Linked DNA regions of Elephas maximus indicus. The protein of the gene in region 1 interacts with the protein of each later gene in a pairwise test. Links are inferred from orthologs where the notes say so. Each region holds a gene or a part of one and is shown on either strand. Other genes may lie near its edges. The genes, in order: PCBD1, HNF1B and HNF1A.

Region 1 (7,568 bases):
CCTGTCACTGTTCTGAGGCTTGAGTTTAAGGTTGTCTTTCTGCAGCAGGAAGAAAGTCATGTTACCAGGACCACTAACAAGGTTGGACATGCCAGAAGAGGTTGGTTCTTGGTGAATCTCTGGCCATCTACGAACATGTCCTCAGACCTACATCCCTGCTTCCAGGCAGGGCCCTAGAATCTCTGAGGCTCTTTCCTAAGAGTTCCAGGTAGGGAAAGCCCAAGACCCATCTCCCCACTCTCCAACCCCCAAAGATGACACTTTCCAAGTAAGTTAGGGAAGTTCATTTCCTCACTGGCACAGGGCCCAAATAAACTAGGTTAGAGTCGTATCTGATAGTCATGCTACCATGACATTAAGGAAGAGAACAAGTTCTGGAGCATGACCCCATCAGCCCTAGTGTCAAAATTCTGTCCCACCCTGGCCCCATACCCTATTGAAGTCTTTGAAATGGAACTGCTTGAAGATGGCATCGCGGCCTTCCACCTCATTCCACCCCACAGCCCTCAGGTTTGGCAGCAGCTGGTCCCTCTCCTCGGCGCTTAGCCTGTGTGCTTTGCCAGCCTGGGAGAGGAAAAAACAGGCCAAAGGGCATTTATTTTTACAGGTCAAATGAGAAGGCTCAGACCATTTGGGGAATGTTGCCTCCCCTGGCTGCTCTGGATGCTGGGTGAAAGGTCAAAGAACAGCTAATCTTTAAGCAATAGATGGGGAGGTCTAGAGGGTGGGCCCTGCCCAGGAGGTGGGGTCCTTCCTCATTCACTGATAGGTTCTTAGGTTTGGGGTTTTACACTCCACCCAGAGAGGGAAAATCCATGAGTATAATGCAAATCACTGGGAAGCTATCTGACCCAGAAACACTCCTCCCAACCCCACAAAAGTCTTAGAGGGGGGCCCCTCCGCCTCCCAAACTAAGGTTACATTAATAAGAAAGTAAAAGCAACACCAAACCCAGATGCAAGTGTATTTATTACAATACAATCTTTTAGGAAAAGAGTACCCCCAACTCTCCAGCTTTCCTTTCTATTATCTTTCTTTTCTAGTTCACCCCCATGGCCCGGCTATTACTCATTGTTAGGTATATTGAAAAGGAAACTGAGGCCTAGGGAGGGGAAATGGCTTGTCTGCTGTTCCCTCCACCCCTACCCCTAGTCAGTGACAGCGCAGGCAGTGTTCTCAGGGTGGTCTGTGGACCACTTGCAGCAGAAATATGCAGATTCCTAGGTCCTGCTCCTGACCACTGAATTGGCATTCCTGGGGGCCTGGTGAAGGAACTGCCATTTCAAACAAGTTTCCCAGGTGATTCTTAGCACACTGCAGTTGACAACCACTGGCACTATATCTAGTAGGTTCTCTGTCACTCTCACCTCGCAGCTTCTAGTCCGAAGCTGCTGGGCTTCAGTTTCTCAGATTTTCCATCTTCTTTTTTTTATTTTTTTTCTATTCTGGGAATAACCTGGTGGTGTAGCGGTTAAGTGCTATAGTTGCTAACCAAAAGGTCAGCAGTTTGAATCCACCAGGAGCTCCTTGGAAACTCTATGGGGCAGTTCTTCTCTGTCCTACAGGGTTGCTATGAGTCGGAATCAACTTGAGGGCAACGGGTTTTTTCTTTTTTTTTTATTCTGGCAGCTTCTGAAGCCCGGGCCACAGAGTTCAGACCCGAAATGGAAGTCATTTGGCCAAAGGCCAAGATAAACCCCTACCCACACAGCCTGGCTCCCCAGTGTCTGTCTGCAAGACTGTGGGGACTTCAAGGAGGCAGTGTTCAATTATGCTGTGGGGAGGCCAGAGGAAAACCAGGACCAGCTTCCTAGAGGAAGGAGTTCTTAAGCTCAGCCAAGATAAGAAGTTGCCCTCTACACTGACGGGGTGGTGAGCCATGCTACTCAGAGGGGGAAGAGCCTTAGGCATGGGACACAGTCTGGAGCAGCTGGTTGCTGACTGCAGGCCTGGGTCCTGGAGCGTGGGGTATGGCAGGTGGGTAATGGGATGCTGAGGGGTGACGTGAGGCTATGGGCACCATCACAGATGGCCCTGGAACCCCAGGTCCTGTCATATGTACCTATTGTGCAAAGTGCCCTCAGGTGGCTCAGACTGGCACCATTCAGGCCAGGAGTTGACCCCTCAGAGAATAAATGAAGCAAAGGTCAGTTCTACTGTCTAGGTCTAGGAGCTTAAGGGATCCCAGAATGTAGAATCCAGAGAGAGAATCACCCAAGGGCAGAAACTGATAAAGTACTAAACTGAAAAAAATCACTAAGTCTGGAGAGAGAATGTGAGGGGTGTTAAGTGGTCTGCAACCCTCAGCCTGACAGCCCTGGGCTGAACTGGCAGGAGAGGTTCAAGCCCCAGTTCTGCCATTTGTCGGCCATGTGGCACTTCACCTCTCTTGGACTCGTGCGGAAAATACGGACAAAAACTTCCACTTCACAGATCAGCACGAGGAGTTAACAGGACAATTTGATAAAGTGCACTGTTACTGCATTTCCTAAAGACTTCTTGGGTTAAGTGGGCTGGCAATGGGCCTGGCAGGGTTTGGGTAGGCCTGGAGGGGCACTGCCAGGCACTGATAGATCAATCTTTTCCTCTCTCCTGAAGACTGGTGTCCCCCCTCCCTCGCCAAACTGATCTGATCTGGCCCCTCTCCTCCTCTTCAGTGGTTACCGAGATGGCAGTGCTTACTCGGCGTCATCCACGCAACCTTCTCTCTATTCCGGAGCTTGCCCTTCTCAGTGCTAATAAGCCTGGTCCATGTATCCAGGCAACCAGATGGCCGGAAGTCAGCCCAGGCACCCAAATCCACTGTTCACTCCTTTGGCTCTGAGAGGGGTGGGTGGGACTGATGAGTTCCTGGGAGAACGCCCTCTCTCCTCAGAGTCTTCTGGAACCCCCCAAAGCCCACAGCCTGTGGGATCAGGGAGGGGGAAGGGGCCATGTTTGATTAGTAAATTCACCGTCAGGCCTGAACTCTGCCTCCAGCCTAAGCGGGTGTGCAGAGGGATACTGATTACCCGCCCCCTGTGTCTGGGGCCTCCTGCAGTTCACAACAGCCTTACTCACTGCCCCCCAAACCCACCCCCAAGCCACAGTTTTCAAAAGGCCCTCCCTGTTGTCACCGCAGTCCTCACTGCCCCGAATGTGTTGGGGCCGAAATAGGCTGTGTCTAGTAAAGCTTCCTTGATGCCCCCACAGGCTCACCGTCACCTCCCTGGCTGAGGGTGGGAGTGCTGACGCTGAGTCAAGGGCCCAGACCCTCCTGGCGGACAGCTCAGCCCGGACTAAATGGTCCTGGGCCATCATGCCTCCACTGATGGGCCTTGGTCCCAGACAGACGCTGTACCCAGGTGAGGTCAGAAGCGCAATCGAGAAGGGGCAGTACACACGCACGCACAAGCACACACAAATTCAGTCTCCCCCCAGAAGAGAACAGAAACGTGCCACTAACGGGGACGACAACTGCTGGCTCCCTAGGACGCCTCGCCTCACCCGTTCCCTGCTCCCACAGCCCCGCCCCAGCACCGCGGCGCGGAGCGAGCCCTGGCCTGGAAGTCAGAGCCAGGCCTGGGCTCCCGCTCGCGGTTACCCGGCCCTGCACCGCCCCTCTGGGAGCCTCAGCTTCCCCTCGTGCACCCCCAGGAGCTGGGAGCGGGGCGTGAACTCCAGGCGGCCGCTCCGAGACCCGGAAATGCCGACCCTCGCAGCGCGGAGAGCGGCGGGTCCGGCCGCTCCCGGGGCCCCTCGGCTGCCGGGGCCCCTCCGCTCCCGGGGCCCCTCGGCTCCCGGCCTCGCGGCGGGCCTGGGCCAGGACCGGCTGCCCCCCTCCTCTCCTCCGAGCCCCGGCGGCCGGCCTCCCGCGGCCCGCCCTGCCCTCCCTCACCATGTCGGAGCGCGCTGGACGCGGGCAGGCAGCAGGCGGCCGGCCGAGAGGCGAGCGCCGCGGCCAGGCGCACTAGGCGAGCGGCCGGGCGGAACCCGCTCGGGCCGTCCCCGGCCCGCCCCCGACCGGGGTGGAGCCCGCGGCCCGCCTTTCCGTTCGCGCCGGAGCGGCCGACCCAGGTAATGATTAACGCTCACAGCGGCGCACCCGCCGGGGCTCGGCGTCCCTGCAGCGCCTGCCTTTCCTCTTAGCGCCGCCGTCGGTGCGGTTGCTCCAAGGAGTTTGGGGAGTGGTAACCCGGGCTTCAAACGCAGACTTCTGCGTCTGAACCGTGCTCTGCCGCTTAGCAGCTGCGTGATCCTAGACACAGGATGACCTCGCCTTTTCCGTTTTACAAGCACTTTGAGGTGTAAGTGACATACGTTAAACTGCGCATATTCAAAGGGCACAATTTGAGAAGTTTTGAGGTATGTATGCCACCGTCAAGCCATCAGCACAATCAAACTATGAACATATCCATCATCCCTAAAAGTTCCTCCTGCCGCTTTGTAGGCCCTTTCTTCCCGCACCTGCATCGACTGATCTACTTTCCGTCATTGTAGATTAATTTGTATTTTCTATATTCTATAATTTTACGTGAATGGAATCATACAGTATATAATCTCTCTCTCTCTCTTTTGGTCCGACTTCTTTCACTCAGCATAATTGTTTTGAGGCTCGTCCATGTTGTTGCATCTTTCAGTACCCTATTACGGTCAAGTCGACTCGTGGAAACCCCGTGTGCTCCATAGGGTTTTCAGTGGCTGTAATCTTAGGGCTTCCTGGGCAACGCTGGGTGGATTCCAACAGTTAGTAGTCAAGTGCAAGCTATTTGCACCATTCAGAAAGCCAGCATGTGTCAATAGTTCCTTTTTATTGTAAATAATTTTTAAAAATTATTTTATAGTATTACATGCTATGGATATGCTACAATTTGTTTATCCATTCATCTGTTGATGGACATTTGGATTGTTTCCAGTTTGGGGCTATTACAAGTCAAGCTGCTCTGACCATTTGTGTACAAGTCATTGTATGGGTATATGCTTTCATTTCTCTTGGCTAAATATCTAGGAGTGGAATTGTGACTAGGTCTGTTTGTAATTTTTTAGGAAACTGCCAAGCTATTTTCCAAGGTGGTTCTATCATTTTACATTCTCAGCAGCAGCATAGGAGAGTTCCAGTTCCTCCACATCCTTGTCAACACTTCCTATGGTCTGTTCCTTTCATTTTAGCCACTCTAATTAGTGTCTAGTGGTTTTGAGTTTCCTTAAGGACTAATGATATTGAACATCTTTTCCTGTGCTTATTTGCCATAGGTAAATCTTTGGTGAATTGCCTGTTCAAATTTCCCGCCCATTAAAAAAAAAAACAAAAACCTGGATTGTTTCCTTTTTGAATTTTGAGAGTATTTTATTTGGGATACGAGAACTTCATCAGATATATGGTTTGCAAATATTTTGTTTGCATTTTCTTACAGTGTCTTTCAAAGAGCAAAAGTTCTTAATTTTATCGGATAAACTTCAATTTGTCAAATGTTTCTTTTGTGAATTGCTATTTTGGTGGTGTTGCTAAAAAATCTTTGCCTAACCTAAGGTCACATTTCTCCTATGTTTTCTTCTAGAAGTTTTATAGTTTTCAGTTTTACATTTAGGTGTATGATCCATTTTGAGTTAATTTTTTTATATGCTGGGAGTTAAGGACCCAAATTCACTTTTTGTATATCAATATCCAATTGTTTCTCCACTGAGTTGCCTTTGTACCTTTGTAAAAAAGTCAGTTAACCCTTTATATGTGAGTTTATTTCTGGGCTGTCTATTCTGTTTCATTGATCTATTTGTCTATCTTGACGTCAATACCACACTGTCTGATTACTGTTGCTTTATTATGTCTTGAAGTTGGGTAATATAAATCCTCTAATATTTAACTTTTTTTTCTATTAGCTTTTTATCCTTGTACTGTTATTCCTCTGCCCCCAGTAGCAACCTTTCTTATGTGTTAATGTGTGTTTTTGTTGTACATATCCTTGCAAAATGCATATTGTTTCATCTGTATGTATTTTCAATTTATGTAAATGGTATTGCATTACATATATCAATCTGTTCATTACAAAACAGAATGCTTAGTGGAAAATTAAGATTCATTCATGCTGCTCTATGTGTACTTAATCTGTGGCTTCTAACTGGTGCTTAGTATTCCATAGTGAGAATCCACCATTGTGTATTATTCTACCAGTGATGGACACTCAGCTTGGCCCCCAACGGTCTGCCATTATCACTGCTACTACCCAAGGCCTTGAATACATGCACACACACATACTAAGTAAAACAACCAAGAAATGATGCTGCAGTGGACATCCTCCTTTAATAGCTACCTGGCCTGTGAGAGTGTTTCTTAGACGACTTAGATATATATACATCTCTATAAATCCAGCAGTTCCTCTTATGGGTACATATATCCCAGAATAGTTTCATATGCTGTCCAGATGGCTGTACCAGTCCTTCTTCTCACCTGCAGTGTGTGAGGGTTCCTATTTCCCTACGTTCCTCATGCAAACATACTCACACTTGGTATTATCCAGCATTTTAATTTTTGCCAGGCTAATAGGTATAAAATGATAGCTCGCTGTTTTACTTTGCACCTTTCTGATTACGAATGATTTTGAGCACCTCTTCATAAGCTTGTTAGTATTGAGGGTTACTGTTTGTAAATTGCTTTTTAATATCTTTGCCCATTTAAAAAAATGTAGAATGCTCTCTTTTTTTAGTTGATTTGTGGGAGTTTATATTTAGACATTAATTGCCTCTCAGTTTTAGATACTGCAGGTATCTCCTCAATCCTGCCATCTGTATGCTAACTTCTCCATGATTTCCTTCGTTGCCAGAAATATTGTATTGTGATATAATATGATCCATCTTTTTTTTCCTCTGCCCTGTGATTTTGTGCTTTTGAAGCTTTATTCGATAAGTCCTTTCCCACTCCTGTCACAAAAATATTCTTCTACCTTTTCTTCCCTTAACTTTACAGTTAGATAAATTTAAGACCTGTTGTCATCACTGGTTGCCATTGAGTCTATTCTGACTCGTAGCACCGTGCGTTACTGAAGAGAACTGCTCCATGGGGTTTTCTTGACTTTAATCTTAACGGAATCAGATTTCTGGAACTTTTCTTCCATGGTATCGCTGGGTGGGTTCGAACCACCAACCTTTAGGATAACAGTTGAGCGCAAACTGTTTGTACCAGCTAGGGACCTAATTTAAGACCACCATATGAAGATTCCCTTTTGTAAGTTAGTATGTTTTTTTTTTTTTTTATGTTAGCTTGTTTTCAAAGATGGCTGTCCAGTGAGCCTTGACTCCCAGTATTCACACCCTGAGTGGCTCTCTCCCATACTGGATCTGGGCTGCCCGTATAACTACTTAAATGTGGTAGAAGTGTCACTATGTGATTTCTGTGTTTAATCAAAAGAAACCTTATCAATTCTGCTTTGTCTCCTGGAATTCTCACTTTTGAGCTGCTCCTTGTCAGAACCCATGTGTAACCTAACTATCAGAAGCCGTCTAACTTCAAGAGGAGAGATGAGAATCAAGGTCAGCACAAAGCTGGTTCCTGTGAAGTGGAGGTCAGACATACCTCCACTCTCCAACTTTTTCAC
Region 2 (7,568 bases), on another chromosome or scaffold:
CTAGTCTGTCTATTCTGATATAGGGTAAGGGTATCTGGAAATCAATGTTTCTCATAAGTTGCAAGCTTGGGGCAGGAACATAGTTACATTTTTCATTTCTCAAAAACCCAGGTGTGCAAAAAGCTTTTTAAGAGCAATGTATTGGTGCCTCGCTTAGAAAAAAGTTTGGATTTTATTTATCTAAACTGTTTTTCAACTTTGCCAATATCTTTTTTTTTTTTTTTGCTTATTGAATGGGAGACTTAAAAATAAGATATTATTTAAAACAAGAAATTAAGACAATAATGCACCGTACAAACAAAATATTAAAGAAGCAATACATCCACATGCACTATTTAATGCAGCTACATATTTAATTTACAGAAGCCAACATCCCTCTAGTGTATGCTGATGTGTATATTAGCCTGACAGACAGCAGAAAAATAAAGGGAAGCACTAATTTCGGGTGAAGCAATAAAAAATGGTGTAAGGCAGAAGCCAAAACAGATACTGTGTTGCAATGTAATAACCAATTTATTTCTACATGCTATCTATACTTTGTCAAATAAAATTAACTTTGCCTAATGAATAAATAAAAAAGCCCATTAACTAGACCGAGATATTTTGTAAGCATTTGAGTAGTTGTGATTATTGAAGCAAGCCTTTGATATTAAATTCAGGAGAACGCGAGCTTTGATTAACAGTTTTTGAGGAACGCAAACTTTTAGTATTAATTATATGTAAATTAATAAGGAATTTCTTAAGTATTCACAAAGGTACTGACACATAATATATAATAATGAAGTAACAACAAAAACAACAAAATGAGAAAATGTGTTACGGTTTCAAGCTTGGAAAGTGACCTTGAATAAGAGAAAAATTATGTAATAAGCATTTTGGACATATCAATTTAAATATCAGAGATCATTTTAAAACTAACTCGTGGAGAATTTTTCCACGGGTATTTCTAGGGTGGAAAAACACTTCGAACAAATTCGAACAGTCGCTTCAAAAGGGAGAAGAAGTGTCTGGATTTTAAAAGTTAATATTGCTTTTTTTATTATTATTATTGCTTTAACAGATTTCTTGGCTATTTTTGTTTTGTTTTAAATTTCTTTACCTGTGTTAATTTTGTGTGTTCAGGAAACCTAATGAAATAGTGTAATGTTTTAAGTGAGAAGAGTTTTGTGGAAAGAGTGCTAAATTAGCTCAACAATTGGGAAGGTTAAAAACAAAACAAAAACAAAAACAAAAAAATCTCAGGAAAATCCTATAAACTATAGTAAAACCTTTAAGCTATCTGGCCCCAGAATTCACATGTATTCACGGAGAAGAGCTCGGAGAACTGGCAGTCTTTTTTTTTTTTTTTTAATTTGAAAATACAGCAATTTTCATGGGTTTCCAACCAGGACAAATACACGGATCTCCAGAGGCGCGCGCGGCCATTGTGTTCAGAGCGCAGGTGTCAATCGCCCGACCTCGGCGCCCGCATTGTCCGCCCAGCAAGGTCCTTTTCAAACAATAACTTGGCTGTCCACGAGCAGAAAAGCCCTCGACCCTACCGCAATTCGCCGCGCGTTCGTTAAGAAGGCTCAACTCCGGCTTCTCTGAAAGCAGCTAACTTTCCAAACGCCAACACGCCCGAGCCCTAGAAGCCGGCGAGCAAGGCCGGGAGTTGGTAACCGGGAAGCGTGCACTCCCCGGCTTTCTTTTCTTTATCTTCTAGGAGGTATAAAGAACGTCCAGGCGCTCCAAAAAAGTGGCTTTCCCTTTTCTTTTCTTTTTGCTTTAGGGGAACAAGGTGGACAAAAAAGAGACTGCGTGTGCTGGCGCTTGGGAGCCGACTGTGCAGTGACCTGGGAACCGCTAACACTTTCTTGAAAAATTACTTTAATAAAGTCGGACCACTCCCGGGGGGGGGGGTGGGGGAGGGGAGGCGCACCCGTTTGGAAAAGGAAGAAAAGCCTCGGAGTCTGTCCTGCGTCCCCACCCTCCCCCTCCGCCCTGCTGGAGCTGAGGGGCTTTGCACAGGGAACAGGGCTGAGGTCCCGGGTCCTCCCCGCCGGACCTGGCTCTCTCTGGCGGCCCTCGGACTCCGCTGGCGGCTCCGGCGCTCGGACAGCCCGGGTCAGACGGCGGGCGGCACCTGGGCCTGGCTGGCGCGCCCCGCGCACTATGCGTGTGCGCTGGGAGCGGCTAGCAGCCCCGCGTCCGAGTTTGGATTTCCTTCCCCCTCTAAGCCTAGTTTACAACTTCACCAATGAATAACCCGCTGCTCTTTTCAACCTAATCACTGCTCTTTGTGTATCTTTCTGTTGATGATTTATAGAAATAAATTAATAACACCCCAACTCCACGTGCTGTAGTTTATGTTACATCTCTGCTGCTACCAGCCCGGCGCGGGGCTGGGTGTAGAGGGGCGCCCTAGGTCCCATCGGGCTTCCCGGATCCTCCGAGCACCGGGCCAAAAAAGCAGGCGCCTGTGGCTAGCGAAAGGGTCTAGGCCCGCTGGCCCCCGATGGAAGGCAACGGGAGCTCGGGTAGTCGGCCAGGCCCGGGTCAGCCTTCAGGCTGCGCTGGTGCCTCAGACGCTCCAAGGGACTCGTCTTCCGATCCCTCTCAACCTCCGGGACTCACACTTTTCCTGCGCCCTAACGCCCGCCAGGGAGAAATCGCCACCACGCCGGGGAAAGGCGAAGAAAAAAAATCTCAAAACGAATTGCAGCAAAATACTTCAAAAAATAAATAAAGTCTCCCCCCCCCCCCCCACCATGCACCGACTGAAGGGCAAGCCGTAGGGCCCCCGGAGCGCAAATTCAAATGCAAGGTCATACCCCACCCCAAATTGCAGCCGCGGGCGTGCGGCTGAGGCCGCCAGCGCCCCGGGAGCGACTTGGGTCTTGGCGGTTGCCTCGAGACCGAGGCGCTGGAGCGTCCGAGGCCACGCGAGCGGCTCGGTCCTAAAGCCGAGTGGCCGGGAGCGACGTGTGGTCTAAGGGAACCGCTTTGCTCCTTGGATAATTAGTAACTAGCTGTCAAAGCCCTGGACCGTCTGGGGAGGTCCAGCAAACGATCCTGGAACTGAGATAGGCGGCCAGCCTGCCTGAATTCCCCGGGGAACGCCAGAGTGTCGGCGGCGAGATCGCCAAGTGCCCTCCTTTCTCAGGTTGAGACCAAACTCGCTGAGACCCGGGCTCTTGGCCGCAATTGCCCCACGTTGGCTTAAATGCGTGCTTTCTTTTGCCCCGCGTGGGCCCAATCATCCTACATCAAGCATTCCCCTTTGCAAATGTAAACCGGCTTTGGGATAATCCAGGGACCTTGCACCCGCGCAGCTAGCGCGGGTGCCCACCAGAGAACCGCCTCTGAGATCCTGGCCCTGAGTGCCGCCAATCCCCCAGCAAGAAACGAAAGAACGCTGCGCCCGAGGCTGGCCTTCTTTTTCCCGGACCCAAGAGGTGGCAACCAGGATAAATGAGTGGCCTGGGGCTTGTAGCAGGCCCGAGCATCTGGGACTGGGGAAAACACTGCTGTCTTGGCACCCATCCGCACCTCCAGTCTCGTGGGCAAACCTCTAGGCAAAGGGCTTCGCAGCGGCCGGTTCTCCCGGCCAAACCCCAGCCAGCCTGGAGGATCCCTCGGGTCCCGGCGCTGGGCCTAGGTTTGGGGAGAGAAAGCCTCGGGGTCCCGGAGTCGTTTGGTTGAGAAACTGGGAGGGGTCCGGGTGTTGGGAGAGAAGCGGAGCGCCCCCCGGGGGACTTTTCTGGTGGGAAACAGGCTGGCGAAAGTGGTTGAGCGCTGTGTCGCTCAGGCACAGGGCCCAAGGTGCAGAGGTCTCAGGCGCACACCTCTAGCCTCGCTCGGTGCCTACCTGAGCATCCGGTCCACCTCGGCCCGCTGCTCCGCCGCCTCCTCGGTGTTGAGCGCCTGTAGCTCCTTGAGGATGGGAGGGGTGTCATAGTCGTCCCCGTCCTCAGAGCCCTCGTCCCCAGACAGGCGGCCCTTGGCGTGGCCGTTGGTGAGAGTGTGGAAGACCGGCTTGGTGTCTGGCTCGGCCCCGCTCCCGGGGGACAAGGGCAGCGTCTCCAGCTTCACCCCAAAACTCGGGGATGGCAGCAACTCTTCCAAGGCCTGGACCAGCACCTCCTTGGTGACCCCGGAGCTCAGCAGGGCGCTCAGGAGTTCTTGCTGGAGCGACGTGAGCTTGGACACCATTTTCCAAGGACGGGGGTAAAAAGGGGGTGAGGGGGTGGGTGGGTGCGAGAGAGGAGGGTGGAGGGGGAGTTTCACCAGCGAACCCCAAGTCCGGGAGCCCCCCCACCCTTCAGCCTCCAGACACCTGTTACTCTCCGGGGCCCGGAGTCTCCTCCAGAGGAGTCAGAAAACTTCTACCTTGCCATGATCGCCACCATTAGGCCATATAAGATATGCAAATTAGTGGGAAGGGCCCGGCTTTCGGCAAGATGCAAATGGTGGTGGGGAGGGGGGAAAACCGAGAGAGAGGGAGAGCACGAGGGGCAGACACTGGGAGCCGAGGCCCCGGGCCGAGCGGGGCTTGCCAGGATCCATTGTAATCACGCTGGGGGGCTAAAGCTCTTCTTCTCCTGATTCTGTTTATCAGCCAAAGTTTAGCTGACCTTTGGACTTGTTAAGCAAGTAGCTTGCAGCCTAGTGTGGAAGGCGCCAGGGCTTTTCCACCGGCTGCAGATTCGGCCTTAGTCCCGAGAGATGAAGAAACTGCGCTCCGGGGGTTCAGGTGAGAACTAGAGGAAGTTGAGGTGCTCTTGAAATAAGGGGGTGAGGGAGGAGGTGAAGAGTAGAGAGACTCTTTAAGGCGTTCCAGCCGACGCAGGCGGTGGGCCAGGAGAACAGCCGGGCGGAGGAGAAACTGACAGCTTGAGGAGGGGCGCAGAGAGTTGGAGGAAGTGGGGTGATGTTGAGCGGGGTGAATAAATGGTAGATTGGAGGGACCCCATTTATTTCTACTTCGGTTACCGCTGCTCAGGCCCGAGGCCCTCACCTGCCGGGTTGGGCGGTTTGGATTTGCAGAACTTCCGGCACCAAGAGCGTAGATGAGGGGAAAGGGTCGGGAGGACCCTTGAAGGAGGCGCCAACTAATTTATGGTCAGAGGGAGTAGCCAAAGTTGAGCTCCCCAGCAGCGGGGCTGCACCATCGCCCAGCCTGGCCAAGCCGCGGGGGAGGTGGACGCTTGGGCAGCGCTCTCCTGTCTAAACAAGGGATATCAAAGCGCCTCCGCTTTGGGAGCAAAACTGGGATTATCGGGCCTCCCTTCTAGCAGTGAAAGCAAAGCTCGGCCCGCCGCTGGATGGATGGAGCCGACTGATTTCTGGTTTGTTCGCAGCTCCTGGACACACGCGGTTCGGGGCGGAGGACGCGCTTTGCAGACGCGAAGTCACACGAGGCTGGAGTCGTGAACACCCAAGTTGGGCAGACGCAGGCAAATTCGCTAAGCGAAAGTTTTTTTTTTCCCCCCCACCTCGGGCTTGGTGTGGGTTTTTCAGCACCAGCGAACTTTCGCCCGCATCTCCCCTCCCCGCGGAAGGGAACGGAAGGCTGAGTGAGGCGCACCCAAGTCTACAGGCTGGGACCTGACCCGCAGAAGAACAGGGGAAGGGTCTTATTGGGATACATCTCTCACAGATCCCTACGTCCTAGGACAGAGGACTACTCCTTTGCCTGTCTGAGCCTCAGTTTCATCATCTGTGAAACGGGGATGCTACAGATACCTCTAGTGCAGGGAGGTTGTATACATGTTGAATGAGACCACGCGTGAAACCTGTGGTCTCATGGTAGTGTTCACACTTTCCAGTCTGGGAGGGCAGAAACCCCAGTAGTAAAATCTAGCCACCGCCCCCTCTACCCTTCCACCCCCACCAAACTTAGTGTTCTCGGAGTCAAGGAGATCCAGCCTTTAAAAGCTGGTAGTAGCACTCGGGTTGAAGGAACTGAGAGGCTAGGGACACAAATTCAGAATCAGCTGGGAATTTGCAAAGGAATTTCTAAGCAAGTTCTCCGACTTCTCCTACTTTCAAAAGATAATTAGGAGGAAGCTGAGGTCGGGCTGGGGGTAGAAAGGGATTTCTGGCTAGAGGCGGAAGGGCCTGCACTCTCATTTGCTGAGTTTAGGAACAAATCTTCCAGGTGTATGAATGCTGAAACCCCAGATGTGATTGGTTCCAGCCTAGCTGCTGAGGAGTTAGGCTGCCTCTTTTAAATACTGGGCCTGCTACTGGTGCCTGGGCCACCTGCCAGCTGAGAACCTCAAAGAATTGTGGTGGTTGTATGCATGGAGACCTAGGAAAGGTTAACACCACTCTGTCTTTCTTCCCCTGAGAAAGAGATAATAAGTTCGTGCAAACGAGGGCCCTTCATTTCACTTTATTGTTTTTGAGTTTGTTGTGACATATGGCAGGTCCTTGCCCTTCACAGTTCTGCCCAATGAAAAAATTTCCCTGGCTACCCAGCTCCCCTCAACAACGATAATGAAGTGTTCAGAGTATATGTCCCTGGAGATCAATCTCTTTCCTTGTCGCTCACTTGCTATCATGATAGAAGCACTCAAGTGTAATGAAGACCAGTTTCTGTGTTTAGCTGGGAAAGCCCATTAAAAAATCAGCAATCACTTCCCTTTTAACACCAAAGCTTTAATTTGTAGTTCCAACTGCTGTGCTGCCTAGTCTGACTCCTAAGCCTCTTTATCTTTCAAAATTTAGGTGTCAGCAAACCCATTTCTCCCCCATCCCCAGACAACTATGTGAACTTAGAAGAAGTTTCACAGAAAGAATAAGGAAAACTTCCTGTGAGTATCCCGGTAACCTGGCCATTCATATCCAGCAAATTTTCGCAACCCTCCTGTCCAAATGTAGTTTGTATATGCCACCTGGTACACTGTGGGTGCTCACCAAGTACCCACAACAGTGCATCTGGGAACAGATTCAATACCCATCTCTTCACATGGAAGTTTAAGAAGAAAAGTAGGCCAGCAGATAGTGCTGGTTATATGTCATAAAGCAGATTAAGGTGTGTGTCATAAATGCTAAATAAATGAGTTATCTAATAAACCCCTTTGTTAAACTTCCCCCAAATAGAGGAAGAAATAGTACAGTTAAAATAATCTTAATTTATCCTTCATCTAGGATAAGTTGGTGATGAACTAATATAGTCAGGCCCATTTTAAAGGTGGGGAAATAAGACATAGGACAGTTTAAGGAGGTTGCTTGGAGCTGCTGGAGTAAATTAATGGAAGGGCTGGGATTGGAGCTCAGAACTTTTGAGCAGGGCTTTAGAATGAGAAAAGACTTTGGCCTGTCTTTCCAACCCCAAGAAAGGCCTCCAGCTTTTGTTGCTTTGGGAGATGGGATATTGAAAGGCGGATTCTATCAGGGCAAGGTAGAGGAGACAGAGCAGAGAATAGAGGGCAGACCTGAGAGTAAAACAGACCTGAGTTTGAGTCTGAGATCTGCTTAACCAGCTTTGTGAACTTGGGCATGTTATGTAATCTTTCTGAGCCTCAGTTTCCTTATGTGGAAAATAATAATAATGCTCTACTCTGTTTTTGTGAAGATTA
Region 3 (7,568 bases), on another chromosome or scaffold:
TGAAGTTGAAATAAAAGAAAAAATGTAAAAAAAATTAAAAACAAAAGATTTACAACCTTGGAAACCCTATGGGGCAGTTCTACTGTGTCCTATAGGGTCCCTCTGAGTCAGAATCAACTTAATAGTAATGGGTTTAGTTTTTGGTTTTGGTTGGGTAAGTAATGTTATCTCCACGTTGCAGAAGAAAACTGAGGTTCAGAAAGATGAAATCACCTGCCTGAGCTAGAAAGGGGCAGAACTGGGATTCGAACCCAGGCATGGCGTGGCTTCAGTCTGGGATGTAAGATCCTTAGTCCCACCTTGGCCATTGTCTTTCTGGGCCCCAGTGCCCTGGTGCTGCCCAATGAGGAGGATCAGAGTGCTTCAGGTTAGGGATTTGAGCTGGCCAGGTATAGGGAGGACCCTGGGTCCAGGTTCCTACTTTGGTCACGGCCTCAGCCTGCTGGGCCCTGGCACTGAGGCAGCATATGTGCCAGGGTTCAGAGAGTCCTAGTCTCTCATTCATTCGTGCTATGTGTCAGCCACCAGTTTCCAGTTGCTATCAAGTCGAATCTGACTCATGGTGACCCCACGTGTGCCACAGTAGACCTGTGCTCCATAGGGTTTTCATAGCTGTGGCCTTTCAGAAGCAGATTGCCAGGCCTTTCTTCTGAGGCACCTCAAGGTGGCTTCGAACCACCAACCTTTCAGTGAGTAACCAAGTGCTTAACCACTTCTACCCCCCAGGGACTCCTGTATGTCAGCCACTGGGATAGATACCAGGGTACGAGTGGTGAACAAGCACCCAACTCAGGCCCTGCCCTTGAAGAGTTTCTATTTTCATACCAAGAGATAGAAGAAAGCTAACAAATAGATAAGTAAGATAGCCAAAGGTAATGATAAGTGATAGGAGAAGGTAAATAAGAGCCGTGAAAGACAAAGTTACTAGGGGTGGGAACCACCTTTAGATGGGGTGGTCAAGGAGGACCTCCTTGAGGAGGTGATGTTTGAGCTGAAGGAGAAGGAATGGGCTGTGGGAAAGTCTGGAACCAGGGTTCCAGGCAGAAGGGACAGCATGTGCAAAGGCCCTGAGGTGGAAATCAGCTTGGTCTGTTGAGGGACAGCAAGGTCAGTTTAACTAGTGCAAAGTGAGTGAGTGAGGGAGAGAGAGAGCCTTGACGAGAACAGGGAAGTTGAGAGAGGGAAGAGACCAGGGCAGGAAGCTTGGATTTTATTCATTGGCCAGGTGGGGGGAAACTAAGGCAGAAGGTAGGGAAGAGACTTGACTAAGGTTACACATGGACTAAGACAGGTTTCTGCTGTGGCCTCAAGCATGGGGCACCCCAGGGAGGCCTGGGACCCAGTATCCAAACCTGCCTCTTCTCAGATGCCTGTCCTCTCCAGAGACACAGCTTCCCCTGGAGGTCCTGAGGCTGCACCATCTCTTCCAGCCTCAACCTCCCCCCACCACCCCAGCCCAGCCCAGGCCTTGCCTCTGTCTTCTTTCCCTGCCTGGAGGCCTGAAGCCCCACTTTTTCTCTCAGGGCGTTTTCAGATCCCTTTTGTTACCTGAACAATAAGTAACCCAGGTAGTTAGTTATAAACTCTGCAGGAACAAGGAGCTGGTTGATAATTTATAGCAACATCTCAAATTTAAATGGAAAGTAAATAGCACGCTGTTAGCATTAAAGAAAACCCAATGGGGCGGGCGGGAGGCACTCCAGCCTCCTCTCCTCTCAGCTTGGGGTGCCTCACTTTCTTCCCAGCCCCTTCTCCCTGCTGGGCCTGGGCCCCTCTCCTTGCTGGTTTCCTCTGCTCTCTGCTTCTCCAGGCTCTCTCTCCATCTCCCTGACGTCCTCTGTCTCCTTCAGCTTTGTGGAAGGCCCCAGGGCCCTCCTGGTCCCCAGGGAGCACCTTGACCTCTGCTCCCCCATCGAGAGCTGTGGATCAAGCCTCCCCCCACCATCCCACCTAAGGGGCTGCTGACCAAGAGGCCCCACCCAGCCAGGTAAGAAAGGCCCTGAGCACCCTCTGCTCCCTCACCCTAGAACCCCCAAACCCATCTGGGGCCCCCAGTAGGTCCAGCCCAGCCCCACCCTGCCCAGGTTGCCCTCACTCTGGATCTGGCGATGCCTGGCTCCTTGCCCCTCCCCTGCAGCCCTGCCGCCCTTTGCCCTCCTCTTCCTGCCAAGTCAGGGGGCCCTAGCTGCCTCCCTGCCCCCTACCCAGGCCCTCACAAGGCCTGGCAAACTGGGGCACCCTGAGGCCACGAGGAAGACCCAAGCCACCAGCCCTCCCCTACCCCAAGCTGGGATCAGGACCTTGGACAGAACAAAGGCAATCCCCTGTAGAACATTTTGGGGGGCTCACCCTAAGGCTCCCCAGCCAGCCCAGCACCCTTGGCTCCTAGTCATTGGGGTTGAGAGTACCAAACAGAGTGGGCTTGGAGGCCCAGCTGGGCCGCCTTAGTCAGGCTACTTCCCCTCACTGAGCCTCAGTTTCCCCAGCTGTGAAGCAGAGTGAGCAACAGCTTCCTCACAGGGTTAATCTCAACATTAACCAAAATTATCAATGAGAAACCTCAGCACAGGGCCTGGCGAGTCATAAACCTCAGGAAGCGGGTGGCTGCTGGGATGCAGGCTATGGAGCCTTTCCCAAAAGGAGGTCCCTGCAGCCCCCAGGCCACCCTTCCTCCACCAGAACCTCCCATCCTCCACCCCCACTGGTGGAAGGTTGGTTGGCCCAGGCCTCTCCAGGCCACCATCCCTACAAGTTAATGATCACAGGCCTTATCAGAGCCTTTTGCTGTTTATAAATTTATAAAACAAAAGAGAAATAATAAAGCCCGTGGGTAATTAGTAACCAGGTCACCTCTGCTGAGGAGAGGGGAGGCATCCAGCCTGGGACCCACCCAGTTCAGGAGATGGGGAGCCGGCAGGTGGATGGGGGTACAGACCAGGAAGTCACTAATGGCGCTTGCTGGCAAGGTGTGGGTGTGAGGGGTTGTGGCTGTGCAGGAAGGGGAGCAGCTGCTGCCCCCCAGGCTCCATCCCCCTCAGGTAAGAAAAATCTGGGCTTTCCTGGGTAAATGCTGGAGTCCCAAGATGGTTGGGGAAGCCCCCAAAACCCCCAGCCAAGGCCCCCAGCTGCGCTTCCTGGCCCCTGAGCCTACACTCTGAGGACTGGGCAGGAAAGTTAGGGTTTGAGGAGCAGAAATGGCCTTGATGGCTAGAAATTCCCACCACCCTCTTCCCACCACCTTGGACTCTCTGGGCATTTGAATTTCGGTGTCTGCGGCCTTTTGCCCCCTTGGAGCTCTCCTGGGGCATGTCCTACTTCCCGAGCTTTGGGCTGCATGGCTCCCGGGCCAGGAGACTCTACAGAGGGGCTGCCTCAGGGACCAGGGGCTCCAGCCTCCCAGCCAGGACCCGTCTGAGCTCTCACCACCAGGTCACCTTCTCGATAACTAAAGGCCACAGCTCATGGGGACTCCGGACTCTGAAGAGAGGCCAGTCAGGAGCTGGGGTGGGCTCCATCTCGGGCGCTGGGGGCAAGTAGGGGGTCCTTACTGCAGAAGGGTCTCCACCACGGCCTTCTGGTGGGCCGCCTCCTCGGGACTGAGGTTCTCCAGCTCTTTGAGGATGGGCGGCGTGAAGTCTTCCCCATCGTCGTCCGTCTCGTCCTCGGAGCCCCGCGTCTCCCCCAGCCCGTTGGGAAGCTCGGCCAGCTCCCCTCGGCCACCACCGCAGGACTCCCCCTTGTCCAGGGGCTCGTCCCCGGCCAGCAGGTAGGGCCCTGGCTCACCTAGGGCCTGGATCAGCGCCTCTTTGCTCAGGCCCGACTCGAGCAGGGCCGCCAGGAGCTCCGTCTGCAGCTGGCTCAGTTTAGCAACCATGGCTCCACCACCACTGGGCCACGCGGCCCGGGACCACCTAGCTCACGGGCTCCCCCACCACGTGGGCCGTCCACCTGCCGGCAACCCGGAGGGCCCAAGCCAGGCTCCTTGCACCCACTGCACCCCCCAAGCCCCTCTAGCCGAGCCGTGTGGGCACCCCCAGCCCCCAACCCTGGCCCCAGCGGCCAGTGAATCAGGGCCCCTGCCCGCTCTGTTTACATTGGAGCTGGGGAAATTCTCCAAGGTTCATATTTATCCGTGTGCTTAGCAAAGGGACTGAACTTTGGACTTCAGCCCTGCCGCGCGCAAAGTGCAGGCCTCACGGCAGCGCTGAGGGCCCAGGAGCCACGGCCTTCAATGGGAGTGGGCAGAGCAGAGGGTGGGGGAGGCGGAGGCGCAGGGCCCAGGACAGTTGGGACGAAGATGTTGGGACCCAGGGAGGACTTCACGCGATCATTGGGTCCACCCCGAGGGCCTCGCAGGGCATCAGGCTGAGGCAGGAGAGCAAAAAAAAAAAAACACGTTTCCTTGGGGAACAGAAGTAGCAGGGAGTTCTAAGTAGCTGAGCAGGCTCTCCTCAAGGGTAGGGCTAGATCACGCCCATTTTGGGACTTCCCTCTCCAGGCTCAACACCAGGCCCAACACCAGGCCTGCCGGTAGGAAAAACTTGTTGACTGGAGTCTGCTGTGCTTGAGCAGCTACGCTGGATCTCTAATAGGTACTGCTGCTTTATTGTACAGTCAGCCCCGCGGGTTAGGAACTTCAGACTTACATACTAAAAAAACTACCCGTGGTTAAGTTTAACGAACCAATCTCGATAAAGCCGATTATATTAAAAATTCGAGGTACATATACAATGGTTCTTAAAAAACAAACCAGTGCTACTTTGCAAACGCATCAAAACTTTATTATTATTACTGTATTATTATGTTAAACATGTTTTTGTGTATCTGAAAGTGTTTCTTTAATGTTTTTTATTCATAGAAAGGTACACTATATACCATGTACTAAAGCAAACATTTGACTAACTGATAGTAAGTAGATATGAAGCGTACCTTAGTGTTCCAACTTACATAAAATTTGACTTAAAAGACAGACTTAGGAACAGAACTCATTTGTCATCGGGGACTACCTCTATCCTCCTAACAACTGTGAGTAGTACAAGGAAAGAAGAAGAAACTCAAGTAAGCCTCAGAGAGGTTAAACAACTTACCCAAAGTCACACAGCTAGCAAGAGGCAAGACTTGCAAAGCCAGGCTAGAGAGAGGCAAGTCAGGTAATTGCCTTGGGTGCACAGGTTAAGGGAACACCAAAAAACCCAGTAGCCAAGACAAACAATATTCTAATGCAATATATCAGAAAATCAAAATGAACACAAAACCCAAGAGGATTCAAAACACATGTCTGCCCCAAAATTTGTACACAGATGTTCCCAGCACCATTATTCATAATATAGCCAAAAAGCGGAAACAACCCAAATGTCCATCAGCTAATGATAGATAAATAAAATGTGGTCGATTCATACTATGTGTATATTATTCGGCCATAAAAAGGAATGGAGTAGCAACACGTGCTGCAACATGGATGAACCCTGAAACCATTATGCTAAGTGAAAGAAGCCAGACCAAAATGTCTCATATTATGTGATTTCCACGGATATGAAATGTGCAGAACGGGCAAGTCCATAGAGACAGAAAGTAGACTAGTAGTTGCCTAGGGCTTGGGGGATAGGGGTGCTGGCTAAGGGCACAGGGTTTCTTTGGGGATGATAAAATGTTCTAAAATTGTGCACGTGACAGTTGTACATCCTCGTGAGTATAATAAAAACCACTGAATTGTACACCTGTTCTTCAATTCTGTGAATTATATATCAATAAAAGATAGTTCTTAAATTAATGCAAATTTGTTTATTGTTTATGATCTGCTAGAATATAAGCCCCTGAGGGCAGGGCTTCTGTCTGTTTTGTCCACTGCTGTATTCCCAGTGCCTAGAATGTTGTTGTCAGGTGCCCTCAAGTCGGTTCCAACTCATAGCAACCCTATGTACAACAGAACGAAACACTGCCCGGTCCTGCCCCATCCTCACAAACGTTGTTATCCTTAAGCCCCTTGTTGCAGCCACTGTGTCAATCTATCTCATTGAGGTTCTTCTTCTTTTTTACCAAGTGTGCCTAGAATAGTTTCCATTATATAGTTGGTAAGGTCCCTGGATGGTGCAAATGGTTTGCACTCATCTACCAACCTAAAGGTTTGCAGTTCAGATCCACTCCATGGCACCACGGAAGAAAGGCCTGGCGATCTGCTTCTGTAAAGGTTACAGCCAAGAAAGCCCCATGGAACAGTTCTACTCCGTAATACGTGGAGTCATCATGAGTCGGTATCGACTCAAAAGCAACAGGTTTTGGTTTTCACATAGTAGGTGCTCAATAAACAGTCGTTGAATGAATGAATGGTTAAAGTTCACTGCACATTGATCATGCATACTTAGCGTGCTAAGCTTTAATAATGTAGTCCATTTCCAGGCAACTCTATGGAGTAGGTACTGTTAATATTCCCATTCTGTGGGGGAGGAAACAGGTTCACAGGGTCAAAGACTTGCTCAGAGTCCCATGGTTCAGGGTTTTAAACCCAAGCAGGATGGCACTGGCAGCTGCCCCAGGAGAGGGTGTGATTCCACCTTTCCCGCAGCGCACCCAGTGGCCAAAACGAGTTGCTTTGGGGTTAGGCAGTTCGCTGCTGGGTACAAAATTCTCAAGTACAGGAATTCTGGCCCTGGCTAAAGGACAGGGAAGGTGCCATGAACTGTCCCATGGTGGCTTCTTGGTCTTCCCCCTCAATACCCGCTAGCCAGGAGGCAGGTGGCTGCCTGCAGCCACCCCTCACTAACTTTTCATCTAGAACAGGAAACCAAAGGGAGCAAGGAGTGTGGGGCCTAGGTCCTTTGCACAATGTTTGAACTCCTTAAGTGCTGGGTCCTCCAATGGCCAGGTGGCTGAACTGGTGACTTTGGCACTGAAGGTGAATTTGGTTGGGGGAGGGAATGGTGGTGGGTGGGGAGAGCCTCCAGGGGGTCTCGGCAGAGAGGTCTCCCCAGGGGCCTCCTTCAGCTCCCAGCACACACAGAGGCTGCCTGGGGCCCTCTGAATAGCCATTCCCTCTCATGGACAGGAAGGGATGTAGTAGGGTAAGCAGAAATGGCTGTTCCAGCCCCCAGCTTGCCTTCCTTCCCATACTCAGGGAGTGAAGCTGAATTAACTCACGGGTGGGAGAGGCATTTTGTCTTCTTGAGAGTCACACAGGACCTGGTTCGAATTTCCCTGCTCCCATACACACCCCCACTCCCTCCTCCATCTCCCACCTGGGTGGCCCCGGGTACGTGAGTTAGTCTCTCTCATTCAAGTTACTTAGGCCGATTTTTGTAAAGAGCAAAATGCAGAGATCCCAGACTTTCTGGGTCAAGGCACGCTTACCAGTTGCCTTGGTGTCTAGTCCAACTCACGGCGAACCCGTGAGTGTCAGAGCAGAACTGTGCTCCATGGGGGTTTCAATGGCCGATTTTTTGGAAGTCAGATCACCAGGCCTTTCTTCTGAGGTGCCTCTGTGTAGACTCGAACCTCCAGCCTTTTGGTTAGCAGCTGACCATGTTAACCATTTACACCATCCAGGGGCTCTCGCAGTGTCTCAGTCATTTTTC

The links.
Region 2: the proteins of PCBD1 (region 1) and HNF1B interact in binary tests that used the Homo sapiens proteins (3 or more experiments, as listed by UniProt). The link is inferred for Elephas maximus indicus from reciprocal best matches to the Homo sapiens genes PCBD1 and HNF1B.
Region 3: the proteins of PCBD1 (region 1) and HNF1A interact in binary tests that used the Homo sapiens proteins (3 or more experiments, as listed by UniProt). The link is inferred for Elephas maximus indicus from reciprocal best matches to the Homo sapiens genes PCBD1 and HNF1A.

What each region holds. Positions count from the first base shown.
Region 1 is NC_064834.1:16,846,986-16,854,553, reverse strand, and holds the start of PCBD1 (pterin-4-alpha-carbinolamine dehydratase), read right to left. Parts: upstream 4,009-7,568; 5' UTR 3,881-4,008; coding exon 3,878-3,880; intron 2,905-3,877; exon of another isoform or gene 2,683-2,904; intron 565-2,682; coding exon 433-564; intron 1-432. UniProt on the Homo sapiens protein: Involved in tetrahydrobiopterin biosynthesis. Seems to both prevent the formation of 7-pterins and accelerate the formation of quinonoid-BH2. Coactivator for HNF1A-dependent transcription.
Region 2 is NC_064837.1:31,002,142-31,009,709, reverse strand, and holds the start of HNF1B (hepatocyte nuclear factor 1-beta), read right to left. Parts: upstream 4,195-7,568; coding exon 3,851-4,194; intron 1-3,850. UniProt on the Homo sapiens protein: Transcription factor that binds to the inverted palindrome 5'-GTTAATNATTAAC-3'. Binds to the FPC element in the cAMP regulatory unit of the PLAU gene. Transcriptional activity is increased by coactivator PCBD1.
Region 3 is NC_064840.1:18,352,612-18,360,179, reverse strand, and holds the start of HNF1A (hepatocyte nuclear factor 1-alpha), read right to left. Parts: upstream 3,875-7,568; coding exon 3,549-3,874; intron 1-3,548. UniProt on the Homo sapiens protein: Transcriptional activator that regulates the tissue specific expression of multiple genes, especially in pancreatic islet cells and in liver. Binds to the inverted palindrome 5'-GTTAATNATTAAC-3'.